Linked DNA regions of Macaca fascicularis. Each later gene encodes a partner of the first gene's protein in a complex. Links are inferred from orthologs where the notes say so. Each region holds a gene or a part of one and is shown in the gene's direction. Other genes may lie near its edges.

The links.
Region 2: the proteins of OGDH (region 1) and TCAIM are in contact, whole or in part, in a cryo-EM structure (PDB 8I0K), measured with the Homo sapiens proteins. The link is inferred for Macaca fascicularis from reciprocal best matches to the Homo sapiens genes OGDH and TCAIM. Residues at the interface, in NP_001425937.1 of Homo sapiens: Gly301, Tyr304, Arg323, Tyr354, Arg356, Ile358, Arg364, Asn365, Lys387, Glu391, Tyr394, Cys395, Gly396, Thr398, Glu399, Lys401, Lys402, Lys561, Met602, Pro605, Glu667, Gly668, Ile669, Asn709, Met734, Ala735, Ser736, Pro737, Asn738, Gln772; in NP_001269842.1 of Homo sapiens: Glu214, Gln234, Arg235, Ser236, Trp237, Gly238, His241, Ser244, His247, Ser248, Arg251, Gln255, Asp272, Arg273, Thr286, Met287, Asp288, Val289, His290, His291, Glu331, Leu332, Gln333, Pro334, Val335, Arg375, Tyr376, Glu441, Ser443, His473.

Annotation. Positions count from the first base shown.
Region 1 is NC_088377.1:85,642,310-85,646,125, reverse strand, and holds part of OGDH (2-oxoglutarate dehydrogenase complex component E1), read left to right. Parts: intron 1-2,685; coding exon 2,686-2,849; intron 2,850-3,042; coding exon 3,043-3,197; intron 3,198-3,338; coding exon 3,339-3,459; 3' UTR 3,460-3,816. UniProt on the Homo sapiens protein: 2-oxoglutarate dehydrogenase (E1o) component of the 2-oxoglutarate dehydrogenase complex (OGDHC). Participates in the first step, rate limiting for the overall conversion of 2-oxoglutarate to succinyl-CoA and CO(2) catalyzed by the whole OGDHC.
Region 2 is NC_088376.1:107,207,989-107,211,804, forward strand, and holds part of TCAIM (T-cell activation inhibitor, mitochondrial), read left to right. Parts: intron 1-2,112; coding exon 2,113-2,235; intron 2,236-3,816. UniProt on the Homo sapiens protein: May regulate T-cell apoptosis.

The DNA of each region.
Region 1 (3,816 bases):
CACTCATCCATTCATCTGTCGATGGATGCTTGGGTTGCTTCCATGTTTCAGATATTGTGATTAGAGGAGCTGCTATGAACATCAGTGTACAAATATTTCTTTGAGTCCCTGCTTTCAGTTATTTTGAATATGTACTCAAGTGGAATTGCTGGACCATATGGTAATTCTATTTTTAGTTTTTTGAGGAACTGCCAAACTTTCCACAGTGGCTGCATTTTACATCCCACCAACAGTATATGAGGATCCCACCATCTCTGCATCCTCATCAGCACCTACTACTTTCTGGTTTTTTTCATAGTAGCCATCTTAATGGGTGTGAGATGATATTTCATCATTGGGTTTTGATTTACATTTGTCTAATGATTAAGTGATGTTGAGCATCTTTTCATATGCGTATTGGCCATTTGTATGTCTTCCTTGGAGAACTGTCTATTAAAATCCTTTTTTTTTTTTTTAAGAGACAGGGTCTCACTGTGTTGCCCAAGCTAGTCTTGAACTCCTGGGCTCAAGGAATCCTACTTTGGCCTCAAAGTATTCAGATTACAGGCATGAGCCACGGCACCCAGCCTATTCAAATCATTTGCCCATTTTTTAATCTGGTTGCTTGTTTTTGACTCTTAAGAGTTCTCTGTATATTCTAGATATTAATTCCTTATCAGAAATATAATTTGCAAATATTTTCTCCCATTCTATGGTTGCTCTTTTATTATGTTGTTAGTATCTTGGGGTTTGGGTTTGTTTTTTTTTTCATCGAGGTGGAGTCTTACTGTTACCCAGGCTGGAGTGCATTGGCGCAATCTCAGCTCGCTGCAACCTCTGCCTCCTGGGTTCAAGTGATTCTCCTGCCTCAGCCTCATGAGTAGCTGGGATTACAGGCGCACACCAGCATGCCTAGCTAATTTTTGTATTTTTAGTATAGACAGGGTTCCACCATGTTGGCCAGGCTGGTCTTAAACTCCTGACCTCAGGTGATCTGCCCACCTCGGCCTCCCAAAGTGCTGGGATTACAGGCATGAGCCACCACACCTGGCCTGTTGTTAGTATCTTCTGATGTACAAAAGTTTTTAATTTTCATGGAGTCAGATTTGTCTATTTTTTCTTCAGGTGCCTGTGACTTTGGTGTCATATCTAAGAAATCATTACCAATTCAGTGTTGCGAAACTTTTGCCCTATGTTTTCTTCTGAGTTTTATAGTTTTTGCTCTTATGTTTAGATCTTTGACCCACTTTGAGCTAATTTTTTTGTTGTGATTTTTATTTTTTGTGTTTTTTTGAGACAGAGTCTCACTCTGTCACCCAGGCTGGAGTGCAGTGATGCATTCATAGCTCACTGCAGCCTCAATTCCTGGGCTCAAGTGATCCTCCTACTTCAGCCTCCCAGAGTACTGGGATTACCTGTTTGAGCCACTGTGCCCAGCCTTTGATTTTTTTGTATCATAAATGGAATTGTTGGCCTAATTTCCTTTTCTTATTGTTCATTGTTCGTGTATAGAAACACAACTGGTTTTGGTTACGTGTATATGATGTGCAGTGCTTAGGTCAGGGTATTAGGGTGTCCATCACTCGAGTACAATACATGTTTGTTAACCTTACTCCTTTATCAGACGTTGACTTTATTCCTTCTGTGTATTTGTACCATTCAACCCACTTTTTTTTTTTTTTTTTTTTTTTTTTGAGATGGATTCTCACCCTGTCACCCAGGTTGGAGTGCAGAGGAGTGATCACGGATCACTGTAACCTCTGCCTCCCAGGCTAGAGTGATTCTCCCACCAAAGCCTCCCAAGTAGCTGGGAACACAAGGTGTGCACCACCGTGCCTGGCTAATTTTTGTACTTTTGTAGGGACAGAATATCACCATGTTGCCCAGGCTGGTCCCAAACTCCTGAGCTCAAGGGATCCTCCTGCCTCAGCCTCCCAAAGTGCTGTGGTGGCCTGAGCCACCACACCTGGCCAACACACTGTTCTCTATCTGAATATTTTCTCTGATTGTGTTGAAAGTTTTTTATATTTGTAAAATCCTGAGCAGCAGAAATGGAATAAACATGGGATTTTTTTTTTTTTCTTTTTTTTGGAGATGGAGTCTTGCTCTGTTGCCCAAGCTGTAGTGCATAATCTTGGCTCACTGCAACCTCTGCCTCCTGGACCCAACCGATTCTTCCACCTCAGCCTCCCCAGTAGCTGGGACCACAGGCACACGCCGCCACGCCAGGCTAATTTTTTGTATTTTTTTAGTAGAGGCGGGGTTTCACCATGTTGCCCAGGCTGGTCTCGAACTTCTAAACTCAGGCAATCTGCCAGCCTCAGCTTCCCAAAGTGTAGGATTGTAGACATGAGCCACTGCACCCAGCTGGGATGTTTTAATATACTTTTGTCCCTGAAGTCTGAGCGAAGCTGTTTTGAAGGCTAGCCTGGTGTTACTTGATAGCCAGAGCTGGCCATGTCTGCTGTGTATTTCTTACATATCATGTGCTTTTCAAAGTGCGCCTGGTCTGAGCAAATATAGGGCATCAGAGGCTGGTGAAGGGGAAGCATCTCTAACCCTTGAAAGCTGTGTGTCCTGGCAGCAGTCCATGGAGCCCTGGCTCCAGGAGCCCTCTGCTCACACAGCAGAAGTGAGATCAGGCCCAGGAGAGCTCTCAGCCACATCCCTGAGAGAACCAGCCCAGCCATGGGAACTCTCTTGTAGGAACCCACTTCCAGCGGGTGATCCCAGAAGATGGCCCTGCAGCTCAGAACCCAGAGAATGTCAAAAGGCTTCTTTTCTGCACCGGCAAAGTGTACTATGACCTCACCCGAGAGCGCAAAGCACGCGACATGGTGGGGCAGGTGGCCATCACAAGGATCGAGCAGGTGAGGGCGGGTGGTGCCATCAGGGTGTCCCCCATGTAGGGGTCAGGGCTCTGGTGCCTTCACAGAACAGCCTTGCCTGGGGTGTGGCCCTCAGGTTCCTGACCTTCCCTGCTCGGAACACCAGTTTCCCTTTGCTGGATCATGCCTGCCCTCTGAGTTTCCCCTTTTTGATCTGACCCCTGCTGTCTCCTAGCTGTCGCCATTCCCCTTTGACCTCCTGCTGAAGGAGGTGCAGAAGTACCCCAATGCTGAGCTGGCCTGGTGCCAGGAGGAGCACAAGAACCAAGGCTACTATGACTACGTGAAGCCAAGACTTCGGACCACCATCAGCCGCGCCAAGCCCGTCTGGTAAGGCTCAGTCCCCGCCAGGAAGGCTGTGGGACCCTCCTCTCAGGCCAGTAGGCGGTTAGCCAGGCACATGCAGCAGAGGGATGGGCTGGGCCCACTCAGTGGCCGCTGCCCTCACTGCCCCATCCCTCCATCTCTCAGGTATGCCGGCCGGGACCCAGCAGCTGCTCCAGCCACTGGCAACAAGAAGACCCACCTGACGGAGCTGCAGCGCCTCCTGGACACGGCCTTCGACCTGGACGTCTTTAAGAACTTCTCATAGATGCTGCCTAGGGTTGCTTGGGCCATTGCCCTCTCCACACCCATGACTGCCCCTTGCTTCTCAACTAAAGAATAGTGCCTCAGCGCTGCCCACACCACCGCCTTCCTCGCTGTGCCGCCACCCCTCCCTCTGCTCTCATAGGAGTTAGGCTGTCGTCCCCCTCCAGTGCTTGGCTGCCCCACAGGCCACACACTGCCCAGGCTCTGCTGACTTCCAGGAGGCCAGGGGGAGCAGGAGGAGGAAAGGTAGCCCCCGAGGGCTGTCCTTGGGGAGGGGTCAGCTCTGGCCACAACCCTCCCCACCAGTGTCACCTACTAGGGTAGGGACTGGGCCTTGTGTGGCTTCCTAGTGTGCTGG
Region 2 (3,816 bases), on another chromosome or scaffold:
AGAAGTTTGGGGCCAGCCTGGGCACCAAAGTGAGACCTAGTCTGTACAAAAAAATAAGAAGAAGAAAGGGAACCTCTGGTTTTCCTGGAGTTTTCTCTTGCATAGTAATGCCTAGGGCCCACTCCCCACCACTTTGTTTTGGAATCTGAAATGTTCCCCTCAGCCCAGAGTCACTACCATTCTGTCCCTGCCCCCTCACCACCCACTCCTGCAGCAGCTTGTCAGCCTCCCAGGACTCCATCCAGGTCACTCATTTCTCTGGACTTCCCTTGGGTAGCCAGTGACCCTGAGCACTAACAAGCACCCTTGTGTCATGATTATAGCACCAAGTGAGAGACGGTTTCTACAGAGGTGGTGCTGCTCTCTAGAAGGCCACACAGGCTTTCAGCTGTTTGCTGAAAGCTATCTTCTAATCCTTAAAGATTTTTTTTTTTTTTTTTTTAATTTTTGGACAGAGTCTCACTCTGTCACCCAAGCTCTGGAGTGCAGTGGCGTGATCTCAGCTCACTGCAACCTCCGCCTCCCGGTTCAAGCGATTCTTCTGCCTCAGCCTCCTAAGTAGCTGGGATTACAGGTGCACACCAACACGCCCGGCTAATTTTTTGTATTTTTTAGTAGATATGGGGTTTCAGCACGTTGGCCAGGCTGGTCTCGAACTCCTGACCTCATGATCCGCCCACCTCAGCCTCCCAAAGTTCTGGGATCACAGACTTGAGCCACCACACCCGGCCAAAGCATTTTTGATATTTAGTTCTTGTAAGACTATTGAGGTAAACATTCTAAGAAATACAGGTTTAGAGAACATCTTTCTGCTGAGCTTATTATAGAGTTGATATAGTTGAGACGAGACTGAAACTGGACATTTGGTTGGGTGGAAAGGAATGGAGGTGTCACTGAGCACCAGGGTAGTGAAGAGGCCCTCCTGGAAGGAGGGTGTGGCAAAATGACTAGATTGGTAAGGTCTGACCAGTCAGAGGGACTAGGTTACAGGGATGAGGGAATAAGCATTGGGAGCTCAGGGTAGTAGTATCCAAGACTAAAAAGGCAGAAACTGGAGTCCACCCAGCTAGAATCCACAAAGTAATCTTTTCATATTCCTTCATAGGACCCATTGCCTCTTAATTGTCACTAGTCTCATCAGATATGTCTGTTGAGTTTGACTTTTACACCTTTTTAGCTCTATTATAATATTTGGTCACTTATTCCATAATTAGTTCTACCCTCCCATATGTGTATGACTGACATCAGTGAAGATCTAGTATAGCTTACTGAAGGTTGTAATAAACACACTTTGAAGTATTTTTAATTAAAAAAAATTATATCTAGAAATCTAGTGACAGGTTTGATATAATTAAAATTTAATTTTTTAATATGCAAAGGAAGTTGCATAGAATATGATTTGACAGGTGTTGGCAGTTCTCCAAGCAACTTATTTTAAAAGTAGGTATTTCTGAAAAAGAATAGGTAGAAGTAAAGGTTTGATTGAAAACTCGGTTTAACACTGGGGCTGCTTTAAGATAATGTATGTGTCCTTTTTTTTTTTAGTACAATTTTTTTTAACTTTTAGGTTCTTTTTTTTAATGTGTAGGTTTGTTATATAAATAAACTCTCACCACAGGGGTTTGTTGTACAGTTCATTTTGTTACCTAGGTACTAAGCCTAGTACCCTATAGTTGTTTTTACTGATCCTCTCTTCTATCCTCTACCTTCAAGTGGGCCCCAGTGTCTGTTGTTCCCGTCTTTGTGTCCATGTGGTCTCATCATTTAGCTCCTGTTTATAAGTGAGAACATGCAGTATTTGGTTTTCTGTTCCTGTGTTAGTTTGCTAAGGATGATAGCCTCCGGCTTCATCCATGTTCCCATGAAATACAAGAACTCATTCTTTTTTATGGCTGCATAGTATTCCATCGTATATATATACCACATTTTCTTTATCCAATCTATTGATTAGGTTGATTCCAAGTCTTTGCTATTGTGAATATGCAAGTGCATACATGTGTCTTTTAATAGTAGAAATACTTATATTATGGTTAGTATTATAAAGAGTCTGTGTGTATATATATATATATATATATACATATATATATCTCCCTCTCTCTCTTTTCCTTCTAGATCCTGGTTAGATAACAATGGGAAAAGTGCTGTTAAAAAGCTAAAGAACAGTTTGCCACTTAGAAAAGAACTAGATCGTTTAAAAGATGAACTGTCTCATCAATTGCAACTGTCAGATATCAGGTAATAAAGAAGAGAGAACCTAATTTAGAAATTAAAATGAATATGAATTACCAACTGATAAGCTTTTCAGCAGCTAAATATTTGCATCTTTAACTTTTGCTCTGATAGCTGAGTACTCTTCAATTATCTTTATGAACATCATGAAATGTTCATCTGTGTAAGAAAACTCTTAGTAATTTCTTATTTTAAATATTGAAGTAAGGCTGTGCACAGTGGCTCTTGCCTGTAATCCGAGCACTTTGGGAGGCCAAGGTGGGAGGATCACTTGAGCCCAGGAGTTCAAGACTAGCCTGGGCAACAGGCTAATAGACCCTATCTCTACAAAACTTAAAAAAAAAATTAGCTAGGCACGGTGGCCTGCACCTGTAGTCTCAGCTACTTGGAAGGATGAGGCAAGAGGATCACTTAAGCCCAGGAGCTTGAGGCTGCAGTGAGCTATAATTGCATCACTGCCTTGCAGCCTAGGTGATAGAGCAAGACTTCGTCTCAATTTATATATATGTTACTTCTTTCTTCTATATATAGATAAAGAAGTAAGGCTTAAGTACTGACATTTTTGGCATAATAAACTTTTTTACATAATAAGTTTGTAGGAAAAATACCCTATTCCATATACACAAAATATATAAAAAATAATTATGCCCCCATCTTATAAGATATTTAAGGCCAGGCACAGTGACTCATACTTCCAGCACTTTGGGAGGTCAAGGCAGGAGAATCACTTGAGGCCAGGAGTTTGAGACCAACCTGGGCAACATAGCGAGACCCCATCTCTAAATAATAATAAGTGTTTTAAAAGATTAGTATTTGAGTTTAAAAAGAGGAGGGGAGGGAGAAAATGGATGTTGTATTCTTGGTTCTATATTATATCGCGGAACTTTTTAAGTAAGTTTTCATAAACTTGAAAATTGCAGTTATATAAAGATCCATGCTGAAATTTATTGCGGAATAGATTTAACAGTTCTTAAAACTCTAAGGAAGGGAAAAGGAGGAGTCAGGTCATTCAGTCATTGGACTTCCCATCACTAGAACTCAGAAAAATCGTCATCTAGTCTTCATGTTTAAACATCTTTGTTACTTTTTGCTATAGCCTGTTTTGTTGTTTTCAATTCTCATTATTAGGACTTTTTTTTCTTATATTAAAACAAATGACTATTTGGGTACCATAAAAACACCTTTTTTCCTGTGTTTACAGAGTACAGATAGTATTTACATGTTCTGTTCTTGTATAATCAAATCATCATAAGATAATTCAGAATTTCAAAAGCATTCTTTTAGACTTCCATGTGTGAAATGTTTGAATGTATGCATATATCTGTTATTTTATCATCACACTAATCATTTTCAGATTAAACTTTATTATAGGGGGTTCTTCCCATTCCATAGTCTATTAGCATAAACTTTTCTAACTAAAAATAGTAAGATCATTTTTAAAAGTTTATAAGGTAAATAAATTAATGTGCATGCAAATAACTTTTTCTAATAGAAATTTTAAAAGATCTGTCAAAGCAGACTGAGGAAAATGAAAGGATTTCTTAAACAAAAAAAAAGAAATAAATATTATTTTACAGTATTATGGAG